Arabidopsis thaliana: one gene and its partner. The protein of the gene in region 2 interacts with the protein of the main gene of each other region in a pairwise test. Each region holds a gene or a part of one and is shown on either strand. Other genes may lie near its edges.

Region 1 (7,160 bases), on a different chromosome or scaffold from region 2:
CCCTTCAAAGACACGCCACGACCAATATACCCTAATTTGAAGTCCAAAGTGGCATCAATAATCCTCCATGAATTGGAGTTAATTTCATAAATTTGGAATTCGTGGTCGTAGCCAAAACCAGTGTGTGCCAATATATTGTAGCTATTATTTTGGTAGGATCCGAGAGTATAGTTGTCATATAAGTCATGGGTTGAATCCACCTTGTTTGACCAGTACACGGGTTCCATACCGCGAGCCAAGTATTGTCCTCCTTGGTGACGCAGACGCATAACAATAAGCCGTCGCAGTGAGAGACTTTATATATCTCGAATTGATCTTGATCTAGACAACTAGGATATTTAGGGTTGATTAGGGTAAATTCAACTGTGACTTTTACATGTGGAAGTCTATGGAGATCGACACTCATCGAGCGTACCCTAAGCCCTTTAGACATGTGAATCAGAAACTGCTTTGGGCCTTTATCCAAGTGTTTTCTTGTGAATCTCCTATCCTTGAATAAACAGTTCCATCCTTTGCAAGTAGACCCTAACTGTTTCAAAGACATAGCTGGAACGCGGTAGAGTATCTCTTCTAACAAATGCTCTGGAAGTTCCGACATCATTGTCGTTTGATCAAATGTTGGTTAGGGTTTTGTATAGTACTTCACGTTTATATAAATCCATGCTCAGGCGACGAACAATTTAAGTTACTTTTACGGCAAGTCAACACTCTTTAATTCGTTTCCTATAAAAAGCGTCTTTCTTATTCTCTTCAATCTTCAATATATGAAAGAGCTGAGGAATATGGAAATGAAAGACCCGAAAAAATGGAATATGCACATTATGACAAATCACTATGTAAATGTTTGATTTACTTAGTGAAAAGTGCAACATCTTAACTTAATAAAATTATCTTATACCATCTTAACTATTTTTTTTTAGTTTTATTTTCTTTTAGGATTATGCTTCGTTTAATTAAATTGTTCACACTGTAAGGTTGGACTGAATTCATAGTATATATTTATAAAAATGCAAATTCTTACATGCATGAGGATGAGGAGAGAAAATAAAACACAATCCTAATGGAACCCATAAATTACGTTACCACCCTTTAAACAAAACTATATTTCATAACAAAAGTAAACATGCGTTGTGAAATAATGATAGGATAGGCATATATTAAGGAGTGGTATTAGGATCAAAGTCTCTAGACTCCACTCGTTTTGTCTGATTCTTCAAGGCATAGCAAAGAAGTGGCACATGGGTTCACGCAGCTTTCTTCCTTGCTACCCTTTTTCCTTTTTTTCCCTTTATTTTATCCTCCTCTCTCCTTTCAGATTTATTTGGTGATGTACGTTACGGTAAAATATGGTTACATACTTAATTACATGGACGACTTTTATTTATGTGTAAAACTATAATAAAGTCGTAAAAATCAGTGGTTTGAAAAACAGTTAAGAGTTTGCGGTATCAAAAACTTAGTACTTAGTCGGCGGTACAAAAGTTTATCATGAAAAAATAACGAGGTTAAAAAATGGCATGGACTTCAAATATAACGTCTCCGAAATATGAGAGAATAATTTTACTTTTGGGTAATGGAGTTCATCTCTCCCTAAATGATGCCCAAAACGTTGTATTCATAAGAAAGTACGTTTCTCGAATTTAGATGTTGCATTATGGTACCAAAGTGGTGGTATACCATATACATATCCAGCATTTCACATGAACCATATGTGTATTAATTAGGTGCCATATGCAGCTAGTCTTTCTACTACACGCCATAGAAGTAATACGTATTTAATTATGTATATCGATATATGTAATGCCTTAAACTATGTGATGTGTCCAATCACGTATTATCATCTATAATATGCGTTTGTTCCTTTTGCATTTAGTAGACACTGAGATTCGCATGATACGTTAAACCGAATCTCATAACTCTATATGAATCCAAGGTCCACATACTCACTAGTCACTACAATTGACTAGTTTATGGTAGCTGAAATTGATCACAACGTACCTAATTCCGATTTCTATATCTAGTGTACGTATTGATATTCTTAATTTAGTAATAGTTTTGGAAAATATAATCTGAGTTTAGTATATTCGTTGTCTTTGTTACTTTTAAATTTTAATAATAGTCTAAATAGATCTATATTTTATCGAAAGGTCTCGTTGTAGTGGAAGCATGTGAGTACGGAATACTGATTAAATAAAATACCTGTTAAGTAAAGATTGCAGAATTTCCGACTTGAGGAATATCAAACTGTATAAGCTGCTTAATGTGTACTTCTTGTATCTGGGAAAAGTATCTATTTTCTTTCTGTAAATTTAAAGAAAAGTTTCAGACACCATCCTGTTTTTATACATTTGAACTACCCACCTATATAACTCGCATTTAACCACTTTACTAAAATAACCTATATAAACATATAATTTTAATGGGTGGAACAAATGTTTTGTTGTCAACAAGGTTAACATGCTTCTATTGAACAAATACATATATGAAAATAGTCATATAGTTATTTATTCCTAACTTAGGCTAATAATCTCAAGTGATCTTTAAGAATAGGATTCTAAAATATGAGTAGAATAGGTCATAGGTGTTAAGATTCATATACTTTTCTTATTGTTGTCCATTAGAAGTAGAACCAACCAACCTTACTTGAGAAAAAAGAGAAGAAGCATTATCCCTCGAAAAGAGAAAAAGCGAAACAAAGATATTTGGGACATCGAACATTTTCCCTCTTTTCATGGGCAAAGCATTTAAATCTAATCTTCACTAATTACTAGTTATACCTTTTCCTTACTAATTATCAGACAATTGAACATATTGACCAAGTCAACATATTTTATCTGTAATAATTAATTATCTACCTTACAATCAAAAGATGAATTCACAACTAACTAAATAAATCACAAGAAAAAATACCAGAAACAATTCCATGACATTAATACTCAATAAACATTCAACTAAGTGTCTGCTACAAAAAACTCAGGTTTATTTCTCATTATTACTTTTGTGTTTATTATTTTTTTGTAATAAAGATGCACACCAAGAATTAACTTTTTGAAATAAACAATATTAGAAGAGATCCAAGCGACAAAATTCACTGTAAGCTACTAAAGAAAAATAGTAGAAAACATAGTACTACTACTTAATTGTCTAATTTGCTTACTAATTAATTAGTTTATTGACTAATCAGAAAAAGTAACATGTTTGAAGTTAGTGTTTAAGAATTAATACAAATGTTGCGTCATCATCTCTCGCTGTCTTGTCAAATCTGTAACTGCATATTTATTTATAAATCTCTCTTCTCTTTACTCATTCTCTTCTCTCTCACTTTCTCAAACAATCTCTCTCTCTGGCATTTGGATTTGGAAGTGCTTTTTGTATATATATCCAACAAAGGAATCAGATCGGAGATGTCGGATGTTTCCGGTGACGGAGATTTATCGGCGACGGTTACTGAACATGAAGTAACTCCACAACCGCCGGTTTCTTCGGCGACGTATCCGTCATTAACGGTGTCGGCGTCTTACAAAGAGAGCAGCGGAGGTAAAAGCTCGTCGAAGAGGAGACCAATAAGGCCGAGTTTCGACGCTGCGGCTGATAATGAGTTTATTACTTTGCTTCATGGCTCGGATCCAGTGAAAGTGGAGCTTAATCGACTAGAGAATGAAGTTAGAGGTCTGATAATGCTGTTCGATTTTTTTATTTTTTGTCGATTCGGTTTCTGATTATTGGTTGTTGGGGGGATGTAGATAAGGATCGGGAGTTAGGAGAAGCAAACGCTGAGATCAAAGCGCTTAGGTTGTCTGAGAGACAAAGAGAGAAAGCTGTTGAAGAGGTTTGTTTGTGTCTGAATTTTGCTATTTTTGTCTGAAGCTTTTTCACATTTTACCAATTCTTAATCATTTCTTGATGTTTTGGTAAATTATCTCCATTTTTGGTTAAGCCAATCAATAATGGTTGATAAATTTCACACATTTAGCAATTTCTCAGGGACGATTATTAATCTCTACATTTTTGGTTCAACCAATCAAATAATGGTTGATGAATTTCACATCTGGGTCACTTTATTTTACTACAAAGTCTTAGTTTCCTTGTTAGTTGAAGAAATAATTTATAATGAATTTAGGTGCATTTATCGTAGTGTGGTATTTGGGCAATGTGGTTGGAGAAGAACATTCAGAATTTAACTTTGCCTTTTAGTTTTGATCAATTATAACATCATGTGTTTGTTCTTGACTTTTATGTTTTTAACAGTGGGATTTTTTATTTACACATTCTCTTCTTGTGGAATGAAGTTTCCTCTATGTTTTTTTGTTGTTGTTGTAGCTTACTGAGGAGCTTACTAAGTTGGATGAGAAGCTCAAGTTGACTGAATCCATTCTCGAAAGCAAAGTATTGTTCGATAATCTTTCCTTGGTTCGATGATGTTCACCTTTCGTTTCTTAAGCTTATAGACATATGATATCAACCTTGCTGCAGAATCTAGAAATCAAGAAAATCAATGAGGAAAAGAAAGCATCAATGGCTGCTCAGTTTGCTGCTGAAGCCACTTTAAGAAGAGTCCATGCTGCTCAAAAGGATGATGACATGCCTCCTATTGAAGCCATCCTTGCTCCATTAGAAGCTGAACTTAAGCTTGCACGATCAGAGGTATATTGTCATTTTAAGTCTAACTGCTTGCTGTTTACTTTCATATGGGATATTGAAAGTTTATGAGGTCACTGATCAAATCTCTTGTATCTGTGTAGATTGGAAAGCTTCAAGAAGATAACAGGGCTTTGGACCGTCTGACTAAATCAAAGGAAGCTGCCTTACTTGAAGCTGAGAGGACCGTTGAAGCTGCCATGGCAAAAGCCGCTATGGTTGATGATCTTCAGAATAAGAACCAGGAGCTAATGAAGCAAATTGAAATCTGTCAGGTTCTGTGGTCGCCATCTTGTTCTTTGTATTTACTTAATCTATGGATTTGCCAACAATCTGATTAACTTTATTTTCTGTTTTAGGAAGAAAACAAAATTCTAGATAGAATGCATAGGCAGAAGGTTGCTGAAGTGGAAAAGCTTACTCAGACAGTACGAGAGCTAGAAGAGGCTGTTCTTGCAGGTGGTGCTGCTGCAAATGCCGTGAGGGATTACCAGCGGAAATTTCAAGAGATGAATGTAACTAAACACACTTCATAAAGTCTCTAATTTCTTGTCACAACAATTGCCTACTGATGTAGGAATAATTCTTGTTTTTGTCTTTCAGGAAGAGCGGAAAACTCTTGACCGGGAGCTTGCACGTGCAAAGGTTACAGCAAACAGAGTTGCCACTGTGGTAGCAAATGAGTGGAAAGATGGTAATGATAAAGTGATGCCTGTGAAGCAATGGCTCGAAGAACGAAGGTTTCTACAGGTTTACTTTGATATGATGGCCCCTCTCCTAGATTCTTAGGACGCAAATTATTTGCAGTGAGCAAGGCCCATCCATATCTACATTCTCACTTCTTGATCCTCAACTTTTTTGCAGGGAGAAATGCAGCAACTTCGTGATAAGCTCGCCATAACAGACCGGGCTGCAAAATCCGAGGCACAGTTAAAAGTAACAAATCTTATCCATTAGTCAGCTTCTTTCAGTTGATCTTGTTACACAGAACAAGAAGTAATATATTTTGTTTGTGCAATTTCAGGAGAAGTTTCAACTGCGGCTTAAAGTGCTTGAGGAGACACTTCGAGGAACTTCAAGCAGCGCCACCAGGAACACACCCGAGGCAAGAAGCATGAGTAATGGACCTTCTCGCAGGCAGTCGCTTGGTGGAGCTGAAAACTTACAAAAATTTACATCAAACGGTGCTTTATCAAAGAAAGCTCCAGCATCTCAGATGAGGCATTCATTGTCTATTAATTCAACTTCGGTGTTGAAGAATGCTAAAGGAACATCTAAGTCATTTGATGGAGGCACAAGATCCGTGGATAGAGGCAAAGCACTTTTAAACGGACCTGGGAATTATTCCTTCAACAAGGCTACTGATGACTCTAAGGAAGCAGAGTCAGGTAATGGGTGGAAAGAAAATTCAGAGGAGAAGCCACAAAGTGAAGACCCTGAAGCAGCAACTGAGGACAGTGTCCCTGGTGTTTTGTATGATTTACTACAGAAAGAAGTAGTTTCTTTGAGGAAAGCCTCTAATGAAAAGGATCAAAGCCTCAAAGACAAAGATGATGCCATCGAGGTAAGAGTTCTGTTTCTTTAAGTTCTGTTTCTTTATGCCATATTAATCTTGTTTAAAGAAGAACATTCTTGTTGTAAACGGAGGAAGTAATGATACGTTGATGTTCGTAGATGCTAGCGAAGAAGGTGGAAACATTAACAAAGGCAATGGAGGTTGAAGCAAAGAAGATGAGACGGGAAGTAGCTGCAATGGAAAAAGAAGTTGCTGCAATGCGTGTGGAGAAAGATCAGGACGCCAGAGCCAAAAGGTTTTCAAATAGCAAGAGCCCATCCAACACCGCCCAGATTCTTGCGGGAAGGTAGAGCTATGTGGTTTTTCACTTTGTATTACACATTTCATGGTTAGCTATAATGCTATATACTTCTTAGTTCATAATTTGGTATTCAAACTAAATTTGGAGTTTGGATTTGCGCAGAGCTGCTGGACGAAGTGGCGGGTTAACGAAGAGTACCCAGTGAAGGGAGATTCAAGAAAATAACAAGTAAAAGAATGTCCTTGGCTCTTGTTATTCAGCTGTTTTAACCTTATATCATGGCTTTTACTTTGTTTTTGTTTACCTCATGTGATTGGTTGTATCACCATATATAACTTAGCATGCTGATAATCCCATCCTCACACCTATAACCTAGTAAAAAGATAAGAAAGAGAGTTTGTGACATAGATTTGGTGTTAAAGTGGTTAGAGGGAGGAGAAGAAAAGCCGAGGGAGAGAGTGAGAGATGTTGACATTTTGGCTAACATTTTCATCTCTCTTTTCGGGAGTTAGTTTGTTTTTGGTGTATAGGTTTGGTATTTGGCTTCTCTAGAGCTTGTGTACCTCTGATTCCTTTTATTTGTTTGTTACTCTATTGCACTCTTTGTGTGATTTATTCGTTTGTATTTTGGGTTTGCTGATATATAATATATGATTTGATATATTTGAACAAATCACATCACAACAAGTACTCGAAGATTTCAAA
Region 2 (8,702 bases):
TTGAATATATCCAAGAGAATAATGTAATGTAGTACATAAATATCCCAATAGTGACATCTCAACTTCTAATACGTTTTATGTGGACAATACAAGAGCGTTTCTACTCAACTCTCTGTTACTCTCTGACCTTACACACACTAACACACTCATGTGACACACTGACGCATATTTATCAATTTACACGTATATATATTGGTATATATGTAACGTAAATATATATGTGACTTGCTTTTTGTTTGTATATATTAATAAGCTCTTGTTTTGCCAAAAATACATGAAAGCCGGTATGTTTTATTGTGCATCGCAAGCATCGACCGCTACGGCTAACGGCGAACGTACCGTCACCGCTCGAGCCATCGACCGTCATAACCCGATTATCAAAGATGGTCGTAGATCTTTCACGGCACCGTGTTCCTCCGGAGACGACTACGTTGCTCCCTACCGTCAGCTTTCGAAAATTACGAGAGTACCCTCCTCCTCCGGCGATGGAAAGAGTGTTCAGGTAGATAAAGGACGGAGAAGCAATTCAGGGTCGTTGATGAAGCTGATTAGCTATGACGTCAGCTTAGCGAGGAAGAGTTTTGGCTGTGTTGTTGCAACACCCAAAACTCCTCCTGGTTCAACTAGGTATCTTCTGGGATCCGACCCTGTTTCTTTAGCCGGGTCTACGGGTCAGGATACGGTTGCAACGGAGGAAAGTGAAGCTTCTGCGCCAAAAAGAGGCTCTTCTGGTCCCGTAGAAGAGAAGAAGAAGTCTTCTGGTTCAGGTTCAGACCAGGCAAGTAAAGTAAAGTTGTCGTTTTACTTTTACTGTGTACGGATGGCATGAATGTTAATAAAGAGAGCTTGGAGGGTGATTTGTGTTGTATTTTTTGGACTGCAGGTAGTTGTTCTTAGAGTGTCTCTCCACTGTCACTGCAGAGGCTGTCAAGGCAAAGTGAAGAAACATCTATCCAAAATGCAAGGTGAATCCTCTGTTCTCACTGTTCTTACCCTCTATTGTTACAGTATTTACTTTTCTTTTACTTGCTTTTCTTATCAAAAACAGCAATACATATTTTACTTAGGTTAGTATAAGAGATCAAATTATCTAACTATGAGCAAGTTTTAGTGCAAACACATTTTTTGGTTTTAAGTTGGGTACGGGACCTATAGCCTTAATGGGTAATAATGCATTGTCACTATACGTGCAAGTGTGTAACCGATCTGATCATGTTTCTACAATTATCTCTTTCATATTCAAAAAAGGTGAAAAATGATATTTCTGATATAATACTTTTGTTAAAGTTTCTATAAAATATCAAAAATATAATATTATTTACAATATCTTGAAGATATTATATATGATAATTTAAGGTAAAGTAAAAAAGATATTTTGGGTTTGGTGATACCCAAATGACTTGGGCCAAATCCATAGATTTTATCTATGAAATAGTTTGTAAATGGATTTAGTTAAAGTTCATGCTAATGGTTTTTTTTTTTTTTTTTTGGCAATAAGTAGGTGTGACATCCTTCAACATAGATTTTGCATCAAAGAAGGTAACTGTGACTGGAGACATCACTCCTTTGGAAGTATTGGGTTGCCTCTCAAAGGTCAAAAATGCCCAATTCTGGACACCACCTCCACCATCAATCCCAAGGGCAAATCCGGAAACCTAAAAGAACCACTCACTTTTGTGTATTTGTGTTGTCTTCCTAGCTCTTATTTGCTTGAATCAGATCAATCGTAAAATGTGGACTTTCCTACTTTTATGATTAAACTGTCATTACAGGGACACATGCTTCTTTATGATAAAATTGTCATTACATACTGCATTATCCTGGTGTTTTTTTTTTGTTTCCTTCCCTTAAACTATGTAACAAAGAGATTATTTAACTTTCTAGAAGATTGCACCTACCACAAGCTCTGTTATGAGTTCATCTGTCAGCATTACCTCAATCTCTCTACCTATGATTTCAATGTCATCTTCTAAACTCAGCCACTGCAACTCCTTCTCCTCCACATCATATTTGCTTGGTTTCTCGTCTTTTCTTGTGACCAAATCTCGCAGAGTCTCTTGTATCTTGTTTGCATCCCATTTCGGGCATACCTTTGTGGATTTAACCCAAGGGTGTGGATCCGACAACTGCTTTAACATATGTAGTACTTCTCTGCTGATCTGGTCAAAAAGAAGCTTTCTTTCTAACCGGGTTGAGGTTTTCACGCTGGAGTACTTCTTCTCGAGATCCTCAAACAAGGATGGCTCTACAGGTGTTGTTGCCATGACAATGTTGTGGTCTGAGTCACTGAAACTGGAGTTGGCTAGGAGATCAACTAAGTATGATGACTTCCAGTCTTCTTCTCTGAGCTCCTTGGTAATCATAGCCTCATCAGTTATTGTGGATGACTCCTCTTGATCAGTGTCTTCATCACTCGAAACGAGCATGCCACCTTCTTTGTAAGTAGCTGACTCTAGTTTGAGGAGCTGAAGTTGCATTCTGAGTCCTGGAACGTAGAGATAACAGTTAACACCTCAAAACATTTATAGTTACCCCGTGGATCTACCCGAATCAATTTTTGTGATACAAAAATATTTTAATGCATGAAAGAATTACTGAACTAGCAAGCACTGATTGACTACCTCGGAGATCCGCGCTAACACTCTCAAAGCATTCCGAACCTGATGATACATCATCGTCGAACGAAGCTTCTAGAACTGAAACCGGACTTGGTTGATCTCCTTCCTTTGAGCTTTCACGAGGCTGTGGTGGATCAGGAACCGAAGAATGATTCACATCCTCAGTTGTCCTCCTTGAGATATCCTAGAACATCAGTAAACAATAAGATATATGTGATTATAACAACCTGTATATTCAAAACTCATGCTCACTTACAGGGTCAGTTACCGAGGTGACAGTTGACAAATCTAGAGCCTCAGAAGACATTGCTGTCTTGATATCATCAGAAGCTGAACTATCTTCAGTGTCTGAATTTGCATCTCCTGAGAAACTGCTACGTGCTTTAAAAGGAGATGCTGACTTGCTTGGAATCCCGTCGTTCATATAAACAAACTTGCTTAAACTTGGGGTGATGCTGACCTCTGGCGAACTATTGTATGATGAATGAGATTTGTTACTGCCAGGTCTAGATTTGCTTGACAAGAAAGACTCTCCGTGATGAGAAGAATCCCCCTGCACTAATGCATCTCGATTGATCAACCCCTTAGGCAACACTATGGTGTAACCACCAGCGCTCTCCTGGTTCATGATGGTTCTGGATTTTGAAAAACTTCTTGAGCAGGATCCTTTCCAACCATCCCTACTGCTGATTCCAACTGGTTCTGGCAGTTCAGGCCACTGAATGTTGTTCTCAAATCTTTTACTAATCCCATCTTCGAAACTGAGTCCGTTAAAACTTGCTGGCCTTGCCTCCCTATCTGAAGTGGCAAGCATTTCAGCTAATGTCCCACTTCTACTAATTTCTATCTCGTGCTCAAACTTGTGTGTCAGCTTCCATCTCTCTGACAGTCTCCTCTTAGCTTCCCTACTCACAGATGATGTTGTTGACTTGGAAGGCAAAGATCGATGGTAGTTCCTACGGTTGAAGGCGGTTCTTGTTCCTGAAGTTACTGGCACTAGCTCTGATTCACTTGCGGAGTCACTCCCTGATGAGCTTTCATCCCCTGCATATCCTCTAAATCCTGAAGTCTCAAAACTCATGGCACGACCATTGCCACAGCTCACCTTCCTTTGCCTAGACATTATTTTGGCCATTTCTCCACAATCTCTTGAATTCTGTCTTGACAGGCGGACATCTTCATTACTTTTCTGCCTGCCATGAGTGGTGGTGCATGGAAGCCTACGATCTGCTCTGAACTCATCGGAAGAAGAGCTTGGCGATGCAAAAGTTCTAGCAGCATAACGTGGCTCCCCGAGGTTAGGTTTCAGAACAACAATCTTGGTTGGCTGCAACTCACTCCTCTTTCTCAGCTCCTCATTTGGTAAGTCAATCGTGTCATAAGAAGCATGCCTAGTATGAGAACGGCTAGGACAACCACTACCACCACCACCATTCCGATGAGGCGACCGATGACTCTTCCTCAACAAGTCCCTATCAACTTTCTGAGTTTTCAGACTATCCACATGCCTCTGACTGTTTGGCGACTTCAAGGATGGTGCTTGACTGTACTGTGGCTTGTGAGGTGTGCTTTGAAGATCATGCAGATGTTTTGTAAATAATGAATCTGGGTGCTGAAGAAACTTCAGTAAGAGGTCTTTGTTAGAGTCTAGAGCCTCAAGAGCATCATTAAACTCTTTAGAATGACGAAGTTTATCATCCGTTGATAGCCGCTTAGCCTCCATGAACTTCTGCCGTATGAATGCCATCTCCGCCTGTGTTAGATTAGCATTCACCCTCCCCTGATGATATAAGTTTCTGTTACTCTCTGCCATCTTTGCATCCAAAACTTCGAAAACATCTTTAAACTTCTGCTCACCCTTTGAGCGCTTTCCAAGAGATTTATAAGAAGTGCCTCCACCACTCCTGCCTTGCTGATTCTCCATAGACTTTTGTTGCTTATGAGAAGAACTCTGAGAAGGCAAAACATCGAGACCCATCAATCTCGCTATAATGCTTGGCGATCTCTTTTTAGATTCTTTCTGCTTTGACATTTCTTGTGCTAACAAACTTTTCATCGGTACTCCAGTAGGAAAATCTTGCTGCAACAGCAATATGAGCAACAAGTCACTTTCAAACAACAACAACAGGAACCAAACATTTCCAGTCAGATATCTTAAAAGAGTAAATAATACATACCTTGTTTTCACTCAAAGCTTCACAATGACAAGAGTTAAATTCAGGAGAAGAAGACCTTGGAGATTTGAGTTTCTGACTCTTCTGTTTCTTTCCTGAAAAAATGAATGACTTTTTAGGATTCTCAATTGATAATAAAGCAATCAACTTTACGACAACGGAAGAAACTTTAATAAAAAAAATGGAAACTTGGGAGACAAAAAGAGTAAATTGTAGCACAATAAGTGGAGGAAGAAGAAGATAAAAAACACAATAAAGCATTGAGGTTAAGCAAAAACACTCATTACATGTAAATCTAAATCATTAAATCTGTTGAAAAAAAAGAAATTTTTAACAAACAACCAAATCATGACAGTACTACTACCCCAACAAACACTGCCCTGATAATTTTTTCTAAAAAAGCTTTTCTTTACTTTATTATTATAAGAAAAGAAAAAAAAAAGAGAGTAGCAATCTGTAATCTTCTTCTTCTCTCTACCCACTGCTTTAAAACTATAGTTTTTTTTCCACAAGAAACAAATAAACATTTCTTTGTTTTGTAGCTCAAGATTTTATAAAAATACATTTCTCTATAGTTTAAGAAGTAACCAATTGTGGTATTGATGACCTCCCTCACTACGAGAGACTCTCGAACAACCCGAACAAGGAAACAAAAAGACATCAGTAATTGCTTTTGTTTTGGTTTGCTCAGAAAATCTCAGAACCTTTTAACTAAAATATTTATAAAATTGATTGACCAACAAAAAATACACAATTTGCTCTAAATTGACAAATTCGAGTTCTATGTTAGAACAAACGAAAACGCATCAAATCGGCGGTTTCTCTTCAACCAATCAGAAACGGTTGTGTAAGAAAAAAGCGTGAGAGAGAAAAGCTGTGACCTTGGTGAGAAGTGGGCAGTGTTGAAGCTAATCGATCTCGAGAACTGAGGTCGCTGAGTCGAAATCTGTTCATCTTTCACTCACTGTTCATCTCCGGTGAAAACATTTCATTCGGAGGAAAAAGCACGGAGAGGTGAATCTAGGTCTGGAAATTCACTGGGTAAGAGAAAATCAGAGGAAGATTTAGAGAAATCTAACTCGTGAGAAGAAATGCAGACGATTCTCTGGGATTACGGGGAGATCTAAGAGAAGAGAAGGAACCCAAGAAGAAATTAAACGATTAGAGAAGAAATTGAGTGAAAGAGAGAGAGAGAGAAGAGCGAACCAGACGAGACGACGGAGAAAAGAGGAAATGGGAAATGGCTTCTGAGTTTATTTGAAAGTTCAAATTTTTTTAATCTTTTTTTTTTTTTTTGAAGTTTAGTAAAGGGGGGCGTGTTTGGTACTATTTTAAAAACTTACTGAGTTCTGTGTATCCGTGAATTGCTGCCACTTGTCTCTCCCCTTCCATTTTCCTTCTTCTTCTTTTGTCGTACCGTCGGATTTCTTTTCTAAAAAATAAAGAAATAGTACTACAGTATACAATCAATAACCAACAAATTGGTACCGTAAAAACAAACTTCAACAAAGTTGGAATTATTTATCAAGATTTATAACCAAGTTTAGAATAAATAACCAAGTTTTCTGTATTATGTTCTTCTTCTATCTATATAGCAAACGATATTTTCTTTCGGGACAATTTTTAGGTTCAATCTAGGAGTGAACATTTGTATTCACCTTTTTTAGTTTAAATTAATTATTATGTCATGTTATACAACACTTAAATAGAAACTAAATATTAAAAACAAAAAACAAAATAAATTAAGAACACATTAACAAAAAAATTAATAACCTTAAGTTTTTCTTTTAATTAGCCAATTAAATTTTACTATCTAATCTAACTAAAATAATTAATATTATCTAAATAAATAAAAATAATTCATTGAAACCTCTTAAATTGAATTAATTATAAAATCTAACACTAACCATTCTTTTATAAATACAAACCGACATATAATCTTAACTTAATAGAATTATGGCTTAAGTTTTCTATTCCTGTTTTTTGTTTCCTCTAAAAAGTGAGTTAAAATAAAATTTTAAAAATATTTTACCCTTATCTCAGATTTAAGAATGTTTCTAAGTCATCTATATTTTATATTAACCTCTGACTGAAGTCTCTTGTCTACAAGTCTCTTCCTAGAGAAGATTAGGTTAAGCAAGACTTGAAATCTATTCAACTATATGGTCCTTTATCCTCTTAAATCTATGCTAATTACTCGAAAAAACAGAAAAACAAAAATTTATGCTCATAAAAAATTCGAAATGTATACTAACAGTGACAAATAGTAGAACCTTTCAAGTCCCTAATAAAGGGTTAGTTCGTGAGCTCACCAAATATGACTATAAGTAGAAAATGACAGAAATTCTTACAGCCTTCGCTTTCAAGATAATTAATCTGACACATTGCTCAAAAAAAACAGGTTTAATGACGACTATGAAACATTTTTCCAAACACAAACCGCTAACTTACTTGAAGTTACTTCGTATTAAATTTACGGTTAGATTATAATTTTAATGCATAATGTTTTGCTAATTAATCACATACTATATGCACGCATTAATTGCATTTACTAACTATCATGAATTGACTATATAGTCTCTTTATTTATCTCCTAGAGAAGAACATAAGATAAAGATCATATATGCACAAATGTGTGTAGAGTGTAGTTTCAAAATTTATTCGCCGCAAGACAAACAAAAAAAAAAAATCAAAAGGAAAAAAAAAATCGAATAGAAAAGAACAAAATATAAAAGCAAATAAATCTTTAACTTTCAATTTTTCATGTCTTCCTTGATTTATGGAGGTTTTTTAGACGTTGATGCATCCATAGATGATAGATCACCTAGACGCCTACACACATATCATTACTTTTATGATTGTTGTTCTTTTTACAATCAGTGAAACAAAACTGAATATGATGGTTCGAAATAAATTCAATTTCTTGGTTTTTTTTTGTAATAGCTAGACCACCGAGGTCACAAAACCTAAACGTTTTTCCAACTTTTGTATTATAAAGTACCACTGGACTAAATTTGGAACGTTTCCAAAACTACATCTACAGGAAAGGATTATATATTGAAGAATTGGTATTATTTCGGTTTATTAAACGAAAGAAAAAGTATTATTCGGACATGCGTGTATAGCACAAATACTATTTTCTTCGATTAGCAGCTTTAGCTAACATTTGATTATTATATGAATGAACAATTTGTAAAACCGAAAAACGTTGTTGACAAAAACCAATGTTTAGAGTTAAGTACAGCTGCATGGACAAGCTAAGATTCGTCTTCGTGACTACTCGTAAGTCAATAAAGTACCAATTAATAACCATATTAAAGCTAAATAAATAAACATGCAAGTTGTAGTATTTAATTGGGAAAAGTTATCAGGCGTAGAAAAAATACGAAAAAAACAGTAACAAAAGACAAATAAAAAAAAGGTAAAGCAGATTCCTTGACCTATGTAGTCGATGCTCATGAAACGGTTATGCGTTTGATTCATTATGGCCTATGTAGATGTAAGAAAATAGATCTATAACCCTAAAACTCTTACCGTAATTGTTTTAAGAAAAATAATAAAAAGAGAAACAATGAGATTGACCTAAAATTCCATAGTATTTACGTAAATATTTATACCACCGTAAATTAATTTAATATATGTATATAAAGAATATTATTATTTTTTGTTTTGTCCATGTTCACAGATTTTGTCTTTGGCTTGTTGTCTTGTTGATATGTCAAACGTCTCCTTCTCCATGAAATAACTGGTCGAACATAATCTACTATTTACAAACACTCACAATCTTGTTAGATTTTGTTGTGTGTATCTTATGCAAAAATCTTCACACAGGACTTCAAGGCATGAGGCTAAATTAGCAATATATGTGAAATTGTGATATATCAATTCACAAAAATGATCTTTTATTTAT

What was found. Proteins that work in one complex are often made in the same cells at the same time.
Region 1: the proteins of TRM19 (region 2) and MAP70-2 interact in a two-hybrid assay, tested with the Arabidopsis thaliana proteins (one large-scale study listed by BioGRID).

The regions. Positions count from the first base shown.
Region 1 is NC_003070.9:8,759,501-8,766,660, reverse strand, and holds MAP70-2 (microtubule-associated proteins 70-2), read left to right. Parts: upstream 1-3,191; 5' UTR 3,192-3,227; coding exon 3,228-3,669; exon of another isoform or gene 3,670-3,743; coding exon 3,744-3,829; intron 3,830-4,320; coding exon 4,321-4,386; intron 4,387-4,473; coding exon 4,474-4,644; intron 4,645-4,742; coding exon 4,743-4,913; intron 4,914-4,997; coding exon 4,998-5,153; intron 5,154-5,241; coding exon 5,242-5,388; intron 5,389-5,502; coding exon 5,503-5,574; intron 5,575-5,662; coding exon 5,663-6,202; intron 6,203-6,312; coding exon 6,313-6,500; intron 6,501-6,617; coding exon 6,618-6,660; downstream 6,661-7,160. UniProt on the Arabidopsis thaliana protein: Plant-specific protein that interact with microtubules.
Region 2 is NC_003074.8:19,844,925-19,853,626, forward strand, and holds TRM19 (afadin), read right to left. Parts: upstream 5,468-8,702; 5' UTR 5,054-5,467; coding exon 4,796-5,053; intron 4,699-4,795; coding exon 2,875-4,698; intron 2,803-2,874; coding exon 2,622-2,802; intron 2,486-2,621; coding exon 1,881-2,485; downstream 1-1,880. Other genes in the region: NAKR3 (Chloroplast-targeted copper chaperone protein), read left to right, coding at 275-778, 884-965, 1,499-1,659.